2 linked regions of the Nothobranchius furzeri genome follow. The protein of the gene in region 1 binds, or shares a complex with, the protein of each later gene. Links are inferred from orthologs where the notes say so. Each region holds a gene or a part of one and is shown on either strand. Other genes may lie near its edges.

Evidence for each region.
Region 2: kat2a (region 1) and dr1 share a complex: the UniProt entries of both Homo sapiens proteins name them as parts of the ADA2A-containing complex. The link is inferred for Nothobranchius furzeri from reciprocal best matches to the Homo sapiens genes KAT2A and DR1.

The regions. Positions count from the first base shown.
Region 1 is NC_091745.1:16,603,300-16,611,140, forward strand, and holds part of kat2a (histone acetyltransferase KAT2A), read right to left. Parts: intron 6,102-7,841; coding exon 5,893-6,101; intron 5,818-5,892; coding exon 5,691-5,817; intron 4,886-5,690; coding exon 4,775-4,885; intron 4,697-4,774; coding exon 4,553-4,696; intron 3,232-4,552; coding exon 3,117-3,231; intron 3,038-3,116; coding exon 3,001-3,037; intron 1,726-3,000; coding exon 1,662-1,725; intron 501-1,661; coding exon 416-500; intron 339-415; coding exon 145-338; 3' UTR 1-144. UniProt on the Homo sapiens protein: Protein lysine acyltransferase that can act as a acetyltransferase, glutaryltransferase, succinyltransferase or malonyltransferase, depending on the context.
Region 2 is NC_091756.1:58,160,188-58,167,297, reverse strand, and holds the end of dr1 (protein Dr1), read left to right. Parts: 5' UTR 1-883; coding exon 884-1,103; intron 1,104-1,204; coding exon 1,205-1,368; intron 1,369-4,023; coding exon 4,024-4,170; 3' UTR 4,171-5,095; downstream 5,096-7,110. UniProt on the Homo sapiens protein: The association of the DR1/DRAP1 heterodimer with TBP results in a functional repression of both activated and basal transcription of class II genes.

The DNA.
Region 1 (7,841 bases):
TGATGTCGCTGTGACACTTGTAACGCTCAGCTGGCTCTGAGGGGCTTTTTTCCCATAATTCCCTTGTGAAATGAACTTTATTCATGCCCTTTAGCTGACTCAGACCACAGCAGTGAGTTAGATTTCCCTCTCTTGTTTTGAAGCTCATTTCTCAATCAGGCCACCATCTTTTAGTTTGAAGTAGAAGAACTTCTCCAGAGTGTTGGCACACTTGCAGTACTCGCTGTCTGGAGGGTTGTACTCGCGGCAGTTGCTGATGATTCGCTGCAGGTCAGCGATAAAAAGCTTCTTGGTGACGTAGTATCGGTTCTTGAGTCGTTCTGTCATGGTCTTCAGGTCTGCAAGAACACAATTTAAATGTTAACAGAAAGCTGGACTTACAGGAGAGCAGAAACAGTGAAAAGGAGTTCTTCACCGATGGGAAAGCGGATGATCTCGTAGTAATCAGGAGCTTCAGATTTCTTCACAGGCTCCATGAAAGGCCAGGCATCAGGATGAGTCTGTGCAGGAGTCAGAATTAGGTCTTCAGCAGTGTTCCAACTGTTTTTGACTGAAAGTAGCTGAAGTTTCCCCCAGAAGTCGCTAGAGTGCTAATTTGCATATGACACAATGACGTCACCTGGTTTGCGTCATGACGTCACCGGTCTTGTAGAGTAAATCAAATAAAAACCACGTGATTTTATTAAAGAAATTATTTAATTTATTTTTTAATATTTTATTAAAATAAAAACCCCATAGAATACAGAACAGCAGCCTTTAAAACATCAAGGAAAGATGGCACAAAACAATGGAAGGAATATTTCTATTTTGTCTGAAGAGAATGGAACTCGTAAACACAAAAATATTAAATTGATAGGAATGCATGTATGATTGAATTAAAATGAATTTTCTCTTTTAAGTGCCTTGAGATGTATTCTTCTGTTGTGATTCAGTGCTATATATTGACCTAACAGACAATATATTTTTTATTTTTGTTTGGTTTTGTTGTTTTTAGTACTTTTGTGTAAAAAGAAGCAGGCCGTATTTAGTATTCAGTAACGTTACATGCAAACTGCCAATGACCTGAGGTGTATGGCTTTCAGTATTATTGTGATTTTATAAAAGTTTTAAATGTGCTACGTTATTGAACTCATCATAGAGTTCCAATGTTCCTTGAATGCACCACAAGTGGTGCGAGAAGCCATGTGTGAGTGCGACGCTGCCTGCCAGTGCCAGCCGAGCTCAGCTGCTGAAATGCGGCAGGATGGCGGAAGGAGCAGTCGCCTTTTATGTAGCTCCGGTGGCTATCTCAAATAATGGACTTGTGAAAACCCACAAAAGGTTTGATTGGTCAGTGGGGGTAGCATGATCATGCTGCACGCACATGCACAGATCATTTTCTTTCTGATCCTCTGGAAGGAAGGATGGTCCTGTCGCTTCAGATGCATCTCTAATCGGTGGGTAAAGTCGGCTACAAAGTTGTAGTCAAAGTAGCTGAGGGGGGTCAGAAATGCCGCCAGATTTGTTGCTAGGCGCTTTTTTGAAAAAAAGTTGTTAAGGGGGTCTGAAAAGTCGTTAGAAATGGCAACAAAGTTGCTAAGTTGGCAACACTGGTCTTCAGCAGTCTCAGAGCTCGTTATTCATGTGGTCTAGATATGGCCAGCTCTGCAGGTGAGGCTTACCTTTATCTGGGCCAGAAGGTTCTTCAGCATGTTGTAAAGCACATCTGGGTCTTTCACCTCCTTCCTACAAAACACACCCATGTTTTAGCAGAAACTCAATTCAGTCAATCAGCCAATATTGACATTCATTAAAATTTCAACCTTAATGTTCTAAATGGTGGAAACAGATTTAAAATCTGACACTAATTATAAAGAGTGACTAGAAAACATTTACTTCTGGTTACTCAGTCTCCTTGTGTGCATCAGATTTATCCCGTCCTTCCATTATAATGCATTCATTACGTACATTAGGGATGTTAATTGGTGAATTATGGCGATACGATACGTACCACCATACAGGAGAGATACAATATATCACAATATTTGCGATACATTCATACGCCATATACATATTTTCTTACATTCCTAATAAACATTCTTATATTATTTAAACAAAAGTTACAAAAGGTGTACCCTCACTGTGCCCCGGGTAATAAACCCAATCCTGGACAAGCGTCACAGGAAATGAGGGAGTCAAACGGCAAGAAGGCCAAAACACATGAAGCCAATGTGATGCACGTTACTACAGTCAATCAATAACGGTGCTTCTGTTGCACAAACATTTTGAACTGATATGCTAAAAATAGCATCACCAATAAATCTGTGGTAACACCATAGTGGTAAACAGCCGTGTTATTGTATAACTAAAGCCACGCTGCATTTTTCACCTGTCACACTGCTTCACGTTGCACTGTGAGGACTCTAGAGGTGGTACACTGTACGGTCCAAGATTTCAGTGAGCACAACATCTCGCTCTGGCAGCATGCTAACAACACAACCACACTCACCAAAAAGCGTACATCACTAAATGCCGACAGATGCCCATGACAACAACAATTAAATGAGAAAAAAAGCATGAGCGTTAACACTTCTTTGTTAAACTCTAACAAACTCCAAAGGAGTGGTCCGCATGCTCCTGAGGGTAGCCTCCACTGTCGCTAATGTTGCTAATGCGACTCTGGCACTGTACGCTCGTCACCAGCTTTTACATGTCACTCCCTGGGTGTATTTTCGTTGGTCGACTGCAGACTGGAGTCACATAGATTTTATGACACTTCTTGAAGACTGTTGGAGGCTGAATTTGGTCGTGGGGGTGCTCAATAAGCTGCGCCGGTCACACGGAATACCAAAGACCTACAGATCACACTCACCCTTTTTTTTGTCAAAACTACGTTCAGAACAACAATGGATTTGTCAACAATGGTGGAAAAACACGGTGTGGCCCAGGTGTAAGACACTGGGGCAATAAGTCAGTCTGGATCCACAGAAACTAAAATCCAAATGTTTTAGATGCGTTTACCCCTTGTCCTTGTTGCTGGGTTTCCAGCCCGTCTCTCCTAGAAGAAACATAAACATTGTTAGTAATGAGAAGATTTTTATTTAAATCACACAAGTCAGAGCATGTCGTCCACTCACTTATTCCCGGGATGCTCTCCATTGGGATCTGCCGAACTCCCTCTTTGAAGCAGGTCAGACCTGGATAAACCTTCCTGATCTGACTCTGTTTTCTCTCAATCAGCTTCTTAATTATCTATAATGTCAGAAATGTTTCAATTTAAAAATACTCGTCGATAAAGCACATAGTTATCTTTTTCCGGCTCTTTGAGAGTACAGACGCTTTTTTCCTCCTCTCCTCCCTACCTTATCCCAAGGCTCTTTGTCTGTCTTTGGGTGTACGGCGCTTCTGCATTTTTACTGGAAACTATTAAAAATGGACCTGGTCAGCTGGTCTCTGAACGCGATTGACAAAATTTTTTCAACGATGACAACGGGAGAAGGGGCTCCCGGGTGCCCCTATGGGACAGATCCAGTTGGGTATATCATGGACTCCTGGAAACAGTGGAACCTGATCTGCCTCTCCCAACTGTCTTTAGAGGATTCTGAAGATGTGTGGATATTCGTGGTGTTGGTGTCGGGTTTCCTGCTTTTTGGCCTGGGAGGTTACCTGGCTTACCGGAAAATTAACGAGCTGTCGAGGAATATTGGCTCAATCCCGGAGCTCAGAGATGGATTACACCGCTCTGTGAATGCTCAGACTCATATAATTGTCGAGATGAGTCGTAAGCTTGGGACTTTGGCTGAGATTCAGACTCTGGCACAGAAGGTGGATTCCATCAAGGAGAAAGTTGATGGGTCAGTGTGGATTGGGATAGTTTTAATTACGCCATTATTGGATTTTGAGAGGTTGAGGACCAACGAAACTTTAAGACAGAGAGGAAATTATCTGTGTCTGGCCCCAAAACAAGTTCTTATCTGAATCTGGTACCCTTGAGCCTGTGAGGCTGAAGTGATTACCCCCCTCAGAAGAAATGTGGAATGCTGCCGTCACCATGGTAACTCTGTCTCCCTATCCCAGCCTGGGTGGGACTGTGACCGGTGAAGGCTGTTGAATCGTTCCAGGAGTCACTGTGCCCTCTAAACCCATCAACCTCCCTCCCGTCCAGACGGAGGTGACGAGCGCTGCTCATCGCGGCTGCATGCACTGACATGTGGAGAGTCCCAACCCACCACCCCACTTAGTGGACACTTATGTTGTGTGTTGTCTGAAGTCTGTTGCATATCTGTCTGAGGTGTTTTTTTTTGCAGAGCAAAGCTGCCCTCCCTGTGGAGGGTAACTCTGAAGTGTCTTCTTTTCCTCCACCTGACCCAATCCTCATATAAATCCTCTGATCTCTATTAAGGTAGCACAACTCGGGTTGCGATTGACCACAGTCACCAATTCTTGTCATGTGTCTTTGCCAATGTATGTCTGATCTCAGAATTGTGTGTACTGAAACTCTTAATTTCCCTCTGGGATTAATAAAGTATCTTTGAACTGAATTGAATTTGAGTTAGAAGGACTCCTTACGCACCTCCTTCTGTCTCTTAATGATGTGTGAAAGTTCCGTGTAGGGAATTCTAGGATTTAGTTCACACTCCATCAAGGTGGCTCCTTCGTAGTCTTTGATGTATCCCAGGTATCGACTCTTGGCCACTTTAATGTCTTTGGAAAAGCCCTGCAACAGATAAAAGAAAACAATTATGAGATATGCACGCAAGAGTGGAGTGAGACAGGTGAGGTGCGTCTGCTGTACCTGCTTCTTGAAGTATCCGATGGCGTACTCGTCAGCGTAAGTGAGGAAGTAAAGGATGTTGTGTTTAATGTGGTACTCCTTCAGGTGGTTCATCAGGTGAGTTCCATAACCCTTAGAGTCACACACACAACAGATTTGTGTCAATAAGAGATGTAAAAACAAAAGATATTAAATAAATGCACAATAACAAGTAGGGATGTGGATCTTAGAGCAACTCTTGATTTGATTCGATTCCGATTCTTGGGGTGCCGATTCGATTCAGAATCGTTTCTCGATTCTCAATTTAAATCGATTCACATTCCGTATCAACAAAGAGTGTCAGCTCCAGGATGAACTACTTTGTTGTACAAGTTAGTTAAAGCTATGGGACATTTTTATTAGACTTCAAACTGGTCGTGCTCCAAAATGCTAATTTACAATGAAAAATAAAGTGATTCTAAAACTGTAAACAGAAACAATCTTATGACAAAAAGGCAACATTTATTTTTGCTTACCTTGTAAAATATAACAAATCTGTAGTTACCTAACAGTAGCTTTAAAAGTAATACGGTCAAATACTTTTCAAGTATGTGTGGAAACAAGTTACATGAGTAATCCTGAGTACTCATTTATCAACTTAGAAAATAAATATGAGAATATCTCAAATTTCTGAGTATGGAAAAAATGACATTCAAGCACCCTCTTATCAGCAGATTCAAACAATTTATGGGAGCACAAAAGTAATCGGAGTACTGACTCTCCTAACAAAGATCAAAAAAGTGCATCTCAAACCTGTAACATGCCAAATATTTGAGTTCTTGGAATCGATACTGAATCTTTATAAATAAGAATCCCGATTCAGACTTGAATGGATTTTTTTCAGCACCTCTAATAACAATCAGCAGGGATCGGTGTGTTCTAATTAAATCCTCACTACCTTGACTTGTTCGTTGGATGTGACGGCACAGAAGACGATCTCTGTGAAGCCCTGGGTTGGAAACATCCTAAAACAGATGCCTCCAATAACACGGCCATCTTTAATGAGAGCCAAGGTTTTGTGCTTCCTGTCGGAACAAAAGTGTCAGCAAAGGCAGCTGCTTTTACACGATGACACACCTGGTGAAAGACTGTCCACTTACGGGTCAAACACCAGCCGAGTGATGTACTCTTTGGGCATACGAGGTAACTGATGGGAGAAGACGTTCTGAAGGCCGACCAGCCACATCAGGATCTTCTTGTTGGACTTCTGGGAAAGAGAGTTTCCGATGACGTGGAACTCTATGATGCCCCGCCTCTCCTCCAGCCTGGCTGTCTCGTCCCGGGCAGCGTTAGGCGTCAGCAAGTTTGTCTTCAAACATAAACAAACTGTTAGAGATACCTTATTACACCTAAGTCTTAGAAACCCATAGCAACTAGTTTTATTAAGGCTGCAAACACACCACACTGAGTCTCTTCCTCCTATGAATTTTCAACTTTTAATTGTGTAAAATGTTAAAATCTTTTCATAGAAACCGACCTTCCTCCCACAACCAATTCACCACATATGCAAATTATACATCACATTAGAGGTTGACCGACACTCATTTCTCTATTGCCAAAACCGGCGCCAATATGTAGGAAACATGGTCAGCTGATGGCCGATATATATTGCAGAACCAGACATTTTCCACCTTATTTTCATGCTAAATTGTCACTTATAACATCAGTAGATGCACAAAATTCCTAGAGCTGAATCAGTGTTTAAACTCTGCACAGCTCAGTGTTAAAGTCAGACACCTAAATAGTTAATGTAGAGCGCTTATTACGTCGGGTTTCCACAGGAGCCGTCAGCAGCATGTTACTGCAGCAGCACGTCTTGCTCGCGTAAACTGCTGCTTGGCCCTTCCCACGAGACGCGAAGCAGCAGGGGAGCAGCCGTCACCGACAGAGCACGAAGTCACACGAGTGACTTCGTCAGTAAACACAACAACAAGCAGGAGAAAACTACAATATGGCTCCAAAATGTTTGTGTTTTATGTTCTGTTCGTTTTATAATCGCCAATACGGACCTGAAAAACAAAGGAGACCGCTAGCTAGGTGATAACTTCTCACGGGGCCTCACAGTTAGTAACTTTTTTTTTAAAGTAAAGCAACCGGAAGGCAGTACGTTCTTTATTCTGAAAATCTCTGGAGCTTCTCTCCATTTCCGCGTCCGATTTCCTGTCTTTCCTTCCCCAAAAATGTTGAACCTGACCCGTTTCAGAGGCGTCGCGCGTAGAAAATAGAACTGGCGCGTAAAGGCCGCGACATGCTGCTCCTGAGACGCGGCCGACTCACGCTGCTGACGGCTCCAGTGGAAAAGGTTCTGTTGACCACAGCGGTTCCTATCAGCAGCTATGACGTGCTGCTGCAGTAACGTGCTGCTGACGGCTCCGGTGGAAAGCCGGGGTTACGCAGATGGTAATGAACGTAAAACTACATTTAAATTAAATTCAGCACCAGGCTGCCCCAGGATGTGCCTGACTTTAAATCGGCTTCACTAACAACAAGTATCGGCCAATGCCAATGTATAAAAACTAGGGCTGTGACTCGTTTAAAAATTTTAATCTAATTAATTAGAGGCTTTGTAATTAATTAATCTAAATTAATCACATTTTTAGAGCGTTTCTGTTTTAACTTAAACTTCTGTTTTCAACTTTAAGACACGTTGTGATTGTTTACAGAGTAGTGAGAACACGGAGCGTTCTCCCAGCGGCAGCCAGGTGCCTCTCGTTTGTCTGACTACTTTTATAAACTACTGTTAGGGCAAAGAATTATTCTATCGATCTCTGAAAAATGTCCGCGACACGGACTCCGTTGTTGTCCGGAAGTTTGTTTTTTTTTCAGTTAAGAAAAGAGGCGGACGGGTTTCCTAAATCCTGCATCAGTCCAAGCAAGGCAACTTCTTTCTGTTTTTATTCCGTTTTAGTAGCCATTAGCACTGTGCATTGTTGTGTGCATCAGTGATATTCGGTCTACGAGAAAATCGTGCAATAACAAAGGTTCCGCCTTTCTCGAAATGCAAGCTGCGATTAAAAGCGTTAATTTTTTTAATGCGTCATTTTTTTCT
Region 2 (7,110 bases), on another chromosome or scaffold:
TTTTAACGATTTGTACAATGTTTTTTGATTATTTTTTTAAATCTGTGACGGCCTTCTTTTTGGTAACGCTTTATGGAGTGTTTAGAAAAGCTTACTCCAGCTGTGAATGTACAACTGAGCACAGTTCAAAAATAACAGCACGCGTTGTCTTCAAAGATTCCGCTAGATGGCAGTATTTCCTGATGGGTTTCATTTCAGACTCCGACTACCAAGCCATGTTTCCGGTTTATTCGTCACGCGCATCCGTGACACATTTAGGCTAATGTTGCTAAGAATAAATGCTATCCTAAAATCCCTTACTGTAAGTTTTCCGTTTGTGTAATTTGTTTGGTTCATTTGGCAATGTAAGATAAAAATAATCGGTGGTGTTAAAGCACTTCATAAAGCTAGTCTTTGTGTGAGCAGCGGTACATACATCAGAGAGCTCTTTATTGTTAGCCTAATTGTAGCCTCAGCTTTCACTTCTGTTCTGCGGGGCTAGAAAACAGCAGCCGCTTTACTAGCCTGGTTGCTAATTAGACATACATCTTATTAATATACTAGGGTTTTGTGAAGTGTTTTTGTTCAGCGTGTGTGGAAGATATCCGTGACACTTGCTTTCATTTCTAATTCCTTAAAAGTCACATCGTCAGGCGGCTCATTGTTTGCTATAACACACAAGTAGCCGTTAGCCAACCGGCTAACTTTTGAGGAAGCGTCTCATCTCTTCATGACATTAACTTTGTGTTGACGTCTGCTCAACCCGATCATTTTATTATTTGTACTCCGAAGACTCAAGAAGATAGACATTTGTTAATTCTGGTAACTTCCACACACTAAAGAAGCGGAGCTCCGTTTTTTTATTTTTATTTTAATACTAGTTGGAAGTTATTTTTGTGCCACGATGGCTTCCTCATCTGGGAACGACGACGACCTCACCATCCCCAGAGCAGCCATCAACAAAATGATTAAGGAAACTCTCCCTAACGTTCGAGTGGCCAACGACGCCAGGGAGCTCGTCGTTAACTGTTGCACGGAGTTCATCCACCTCATTTCCTCGGAAGCCAACGAAATATGCAACAAATCCGACAAAAAGACCATATCTCCTGAGCATGTCATCAACGGTGAGTCAGTCCCGACCCAGACCAGGAAGAGTATCATCCTCCCTGGTTCTAACCGCTGAAACTAACTGATTGCACTTTCACCTCCTGTTTTCGCACCGCAGCCCTCGAGAGCCTCGGTTTCGCGTCTTACATCACGGAGGTCAAAGACGTCCTGCAGGAGTGTAAAACTGTAGCTCTGAAGAGGAGGAAGGCCAGTTCTCGACTGGAGAATTTGGGTATCCCGGAAGAGGAGCTCCTCAGACAACAACAGGAACTGTTTGCAAAGGTGAAACGTCCTCATGCGTGAAGCTTGTGCTTTTTGAATGAGCATTCTTGTTTTCCCTTTTGCCAATCAGTAATCGTTGGCCTGGGATGAGCTCTGAGTGTTTATTTAGTACTTTAAACTTATCTGTATAGCTGAGAATAAACAAAACAACAAAGTTATATTCATTTTTATTAATAACACATCGTAACATTTAAGAAACGTCCTGGTGAACATCGCAAATGAACAACAAAGTGCAAAGTTACAAAAATACTGTTATTATTAGAGTGAAGCAGATGATTTAGTTCATTGCTGATGTTATTCACGTTTAGCCTTTTTAAAGATTAAAAGTCATTGTGCTGCCTTCTAGGGTTGTCACGATACTAAAATTTCAAACTCGATTCGATACTGGGAAAAAACTCGGTACTCGATTTCGATACTATTTAAAAACACCAATTTATTGAACAAGTTTATTCAAAAAATAACATTCCTCAATTTATATTGCAAAAGTTAAATGTTAAGAATTAAGTGTGTAAAGTGCTTAAACCTTTCAAGTATCAGCATTTTTTTAAACGTGCATACAAAAACTGGTGAAAGTTAACACTTTAAATCATGAATTGTCCCACTATATATACACTATTTGCAGAGTGATGTTTTGCTGCTTAAACTCTGTTTAAGGTGCATTTTTGTCATAAGATGTAATGCCATATGTTTTGTTCTGTACTTTTGAACAACTCTGTTGGTCAATAAAGGGAGAAAACTAATTTCTCCTCAGTAGGACAAAGGTACATCTACCGGTAATCTTAATAAAAACAGACCAGCGCACGGCAGTGACGTCATTAAAAGCGCCGGTTAGATTAGCCGCGGCTAGTCTGTTTACGCCTAGAAATCCCAGACCCGCTCCAAACGAACAGGGGAATCACGTTAATGATTCCTAACAAAACCTTTCGACATTGAGATGTTTTGGTGCAGATAATGTCTTATTTCGAGGCTGCACCATGGGTGCCCGTCCGCACCCGTTATACGGATATACACTGACGGCGATTCGCCGATGGATCTACGGTAAATACCCCGGGGAATCCAAGTAGCACCAAAGTTGTCAGCATGAGTAAACAAACGTACTGCATGCTAGAAATTAAGTCCGGGTTGCAATAAACGGGAGTTTCCTTTAAGCACATAAGCGTGAATATACAACTACTTGTCGGACTTGGTATGCTAATTAAGTTGGGCTGTGAAGCGCCTCCCAAATTCGCTGTTTTTGTTTATTTTTTTTGGCAGACAAAACTTGGATCGGAGACAACTCGCGTGGGAAATTGCAATGTAGCAATGCGGCGTCTTCTTCTTCTGTTTGTCTGGGAGGCGGAGGCTGCTTTACGGCATCTGGCTGTCGTGCGTGTCGGTGTACTTGAAGAAGGCTGTGTATAATAGTCCATAATATCGATACCACAGGGATGGAATATCTAATTTAGATACCACTTTTAGCATCGATTTATATCTGGGTATTGATTTTTTTGACAACTCTACTGCCTTCTCCAGGTCAGGGATGAGGTCCTGCCCCAAGTGGAGGAGTTTGAGTATCTTGGGGTCTTGTTCACGAGTGAGGGAAACATGGAGCGAGATCGACTGGTGGATTGGTGCTGCATCCGCAGTGATGCGGGCGCTATACCAGTCTGTTGTGGTGAAGATAGAGCTGAGCTGGAAGGCAAAGCTCTCAGTTTACCAATTGATCTATGTTCCTACCCTCACCTATGGTCACAAGCTTTGGTTAGTGACCAAAAGAATGAGATCGCGAATACAAGCAGCCAAAATGAGTTTTCTCCGCAGAGTGGCTGGACTGTCCCTTAGAGATAGGGTGAGAAGCTCGGTCATTCGGGAGGGGCTCGGCGTAGATCCTCTGCTCATCCACGTTGAGAGAAGCAGTTGAGTTGGTTCGGGTATCTGGTTAGGGTGCCTCCTGGCTGCCTCCCTGGTCAGGTTTTCCAGGCACATCCAACTGGGAGGAGACCCAGAGGAAGACCCAGGGCACGCTGGAGGGACTATGTCTCTCAGCTGGCCAGGGAACGCCTTGGGATTCCCCTGGAGGAGCTGGGGAGAAGGAAGTCTGGGCCTCTCTGCTTAGGCTGCTGCCCCCGCAACCCGAATCCAGATAAGCGGCTGAAAATAGATGGATAGATGGAAAATTATTGCTTTTCCTGATTTGTTTTTCTGTATAAAGAAAAAAAAAATCCTAACTAAAAGCTGAAATATAGGCCTGCACGATATTGATCAATATTGCTGTTTCACTGCGCCTAATATTATCTCAAAGGATTTTAATAAGTTGCTGACACTAACTTTTGACTATCAGAGGTTTCCACTCCCATAATGGCCCTCGATCAGCACACCATGTTCTGTATGAATCTTTATGAATGAACATGGAGTTTCTGTTGCTGCTGTTCATTCATTTATTTTTACTAAATCTGACCAGTAACTAAACTTAAACATTCTGCAAATTTACACCTTTACCTAAGCTTTGCTTTAAAGTAAACACTGAAATGTGGTTTCATTTTAGTTATAAAATGTTCTAACTGATCGTTATGTCATGTAAAACATCTCTTTGATGGCTTTACGTATGCACAGTCCTCAGGAAAAATAAAAAGCTCTTCTTGCTTCTCTCTGGTTCTGTGGGCCGCGTGGCTGCAGGCCCGGCAACAACAGGCAGAACTCGCCCAGCAGGAGTGGTTGCAGGTGCAGCAGGCTGCCCAGCAGGCACAGATGGCGGCCGCATCTGCCAGTGCAGCCCAGCAGGCTGGTTCCTCTCAGGATGAAGATGAGGAGGATGACCTGTGAACTCCGGATGTGGGTACATGTTCGGACTTTGTCCTGGGACACTGCTGGCACACGTATCTTCCAGCGTTCTCGTTGGCGGAGACGTCTTTGAGCGCTGAAAATAAGCACATTTGAAGAGAACAGTGAAAGAGGAATGGGCCCCATCCAGATCCTAGTTCCTGGAAACGATTTGGATTGAATGGCTGAGTTTTGTGTTAACCTTATGTTCCCCATATAAGTTACTTATGTGAAATGAGCTCTTTGATGTTCTGTTGTGATTGGATTTGTAGTTGTGAACACACTGAGAGCAGATACTGGGACGCGTCAGCGACTCAAGCGTCAAGTCTCTGCTCCTTCAGGTACATCACAGACGCCCAGTCCTCAGTCGGTGGTTTAGATGAACTCGTTTCTCTTTATTTGATTATTGGTGGTCACTTTTACAGGAAAGATTTTGTTTTCTCCCTTAGCATTTTTGTTCAGACAGTGAATTTGTTTGAGGCATTGTGAATATTGAATTTGTTTCGTTATGTAGAGAAATAAATAGACCTTTTTTTTTTATTTTAGCTTGTTCTGATATTTGTCATTTTGTTCTTCCTTAGAACCGCCCACAGTATTGGTAATTAGCTGCAAAGTTGAGCAAATTAAACTTTTATCTCATAGAACCAAAGATGGAGGACAGACTTACTGCTCAGACTTTGTTTTTAAAAGTGTAGGTGCTACCGTGATACTTACTGCTGACTCCAGATCAGTGTAAATGATGTGAGGAACCTTGTGAGATGCTTTTGTGTTCAGGCTGAAATGATTTCCATTTTCCTCTGGAGCAGTATCTAAATATCTTTATTGTGACTTTGGTCAGCCCTCAGCGTTAAAAAAAAACAAGTTGTGAAACAGTCATTTGTTATTCTACAAAGTTGTATTCTTTAAGCAATAAAGAAGTGTTTTTATAGGTCAGTGTTCCATGTTTGCTTTAAATACTCATAATAAATACTTTATTGTTTACATAGCTGAATGTGCTAACAGCACAATCACACAAAAATGATCAATGGAAATCAAATTTATCAACCCAAGAAGGTCACACTCAAAAGTAAAGTTGATACACACTACAGGCAAATCCACCTTTGATATAATGTAAATGCCCTGTATTTGATATAGTGCCTTCTAGAATAGTGATGGGAATTCCAGCTCTTTTTAGAGAGCCGGTTCTTTTGGCTCAGCTCACCAAAAAGAGCCGGCTCCCAAGTGGCTCCTCAGATTTTCTGTTGCGTAGAGTACATTTATAACCAAAATAATGCTAAACTATATGTAAAATAATTTACTAATGTAAAAAAAGCAATATATCAATTGTTTATAATTTCTATGGATTTAATAACTGAACACTTTAAGAAATCTCCACTTTCCGACTGCTGGCGCTCATTTTCTCACCGTCTTCGTCGCACTCTCCTCTCTCTCGCTCGCCTTTTCCCTCCTCCTCATTCCCTCTCGTCTACCTCCACCCGCATGTGCTCTGCTGTGTGTCTGAGTCTGATCCTCCCTCTTCCCCGCCCCTACTGCTCTGTGTGTGGACGGTCTGGACACACAGTTCCACATGTTGACCAATCGCCTGTAGCTTTCACCAAGGCAGGGGGCGAGGGGGTAGGGGACGAGCCGGCTCCCGTCGTTCACTTCAAAGAGCCGGTTCATTCGCGACCGACACATCACTATTCTGGAGCCCCCCTAGGTGCTTTACGACACAATCAGTCATTCACACATTCAAACGCAGGTGGGGATTACCTACGATGTAGCCACAGCTGCCCTGGGGCACACTGACTGAGGCGAGGCTGCCAAGCACAGGCGCCACCGGTCCCTCTGACCACCACCAGCAGGCAAGGGGGGTTAAGTGTCTTGCCCAAGGACACAACAGTGACAGACTGAGGGGGCTCGATCCTGCAACCTTCCAATTACAGGGCGAGCACTTAACTCCTGATCTACCGTCACCCAATGTCCTTCAAACCAGTCAGAATGAGGCTTGGTAGTGTGTCTGGCCTCCATGCGTCTGTATGACCTCCCTACATCACCTGGGTATGCTCTTGAGGTGGTGGATGGTCTCCTGAGTGATCTCCTAGTTCTGAACTAAAACATCCGCCAAATCCTGGACAATCTGGTGCAACGTGGCATACGTGCTGTCCCACATGCGCTCAGTTGCATTCAGGTCTGGGTAATGGACAGGCCAGTCCATGGCATCAACAACTAGGTTTCCATTACCAGAACTTCAGGGTAGATTTACAGGAACCTCCTGACATGCACGTGTCTCCACTTGACCAGGCCGTTTTCAGGAACCTTCTGAGTAACTGATCAGGGGTAAGTACTCCGAACGGCCTGGTGGAGCAGCTGAGCGAAACCTCTGGTTACCTCATACTGATTGGTTGAAACCCAGTTGGAAATGACATCAGCAGGCTGGTAAAATTAGGAGAGTTGCTGGTGAAGCAGAATGGAAGCATAGGAAAATAAGCGTCGATCGTGCTTAAAATCTAACTCCTGACACCATAAAACATGGTGGAATTCCCCCCGCAATCAACGAGGCTTTGTTGTCTCACAGAGCGCTGTAAAATATGACACTTCTTCTGGTCATTGAACACCACATTTTACGTCACACAGCTGCTCTCATCCTCAGAGTGGATGCATTTTTTATATACTTCAATAGAATAAAGGCTTGTAATGTTATTGTTACTGCGGACGCTTTTTGGCGACATTGCTCACTGCCAAAGCAGTCGTGATATGCTGACGTCTGTGCAAAGTTTTGAAAGGGCTGAATTTGAATGGAGACAACAGCTGTGTGTACTGGGACATCCTATCGCCTGGTCAGTTTCCCCATCTCAGGAATTACCCTTGAGTTTTGGTAATGGAAACACAGCTTTTGTCTTGCATTAGGAGGAACCCAGGGCCAACCGCACCAGCATATGGTCTCACGAGGGGTCTGAGGAT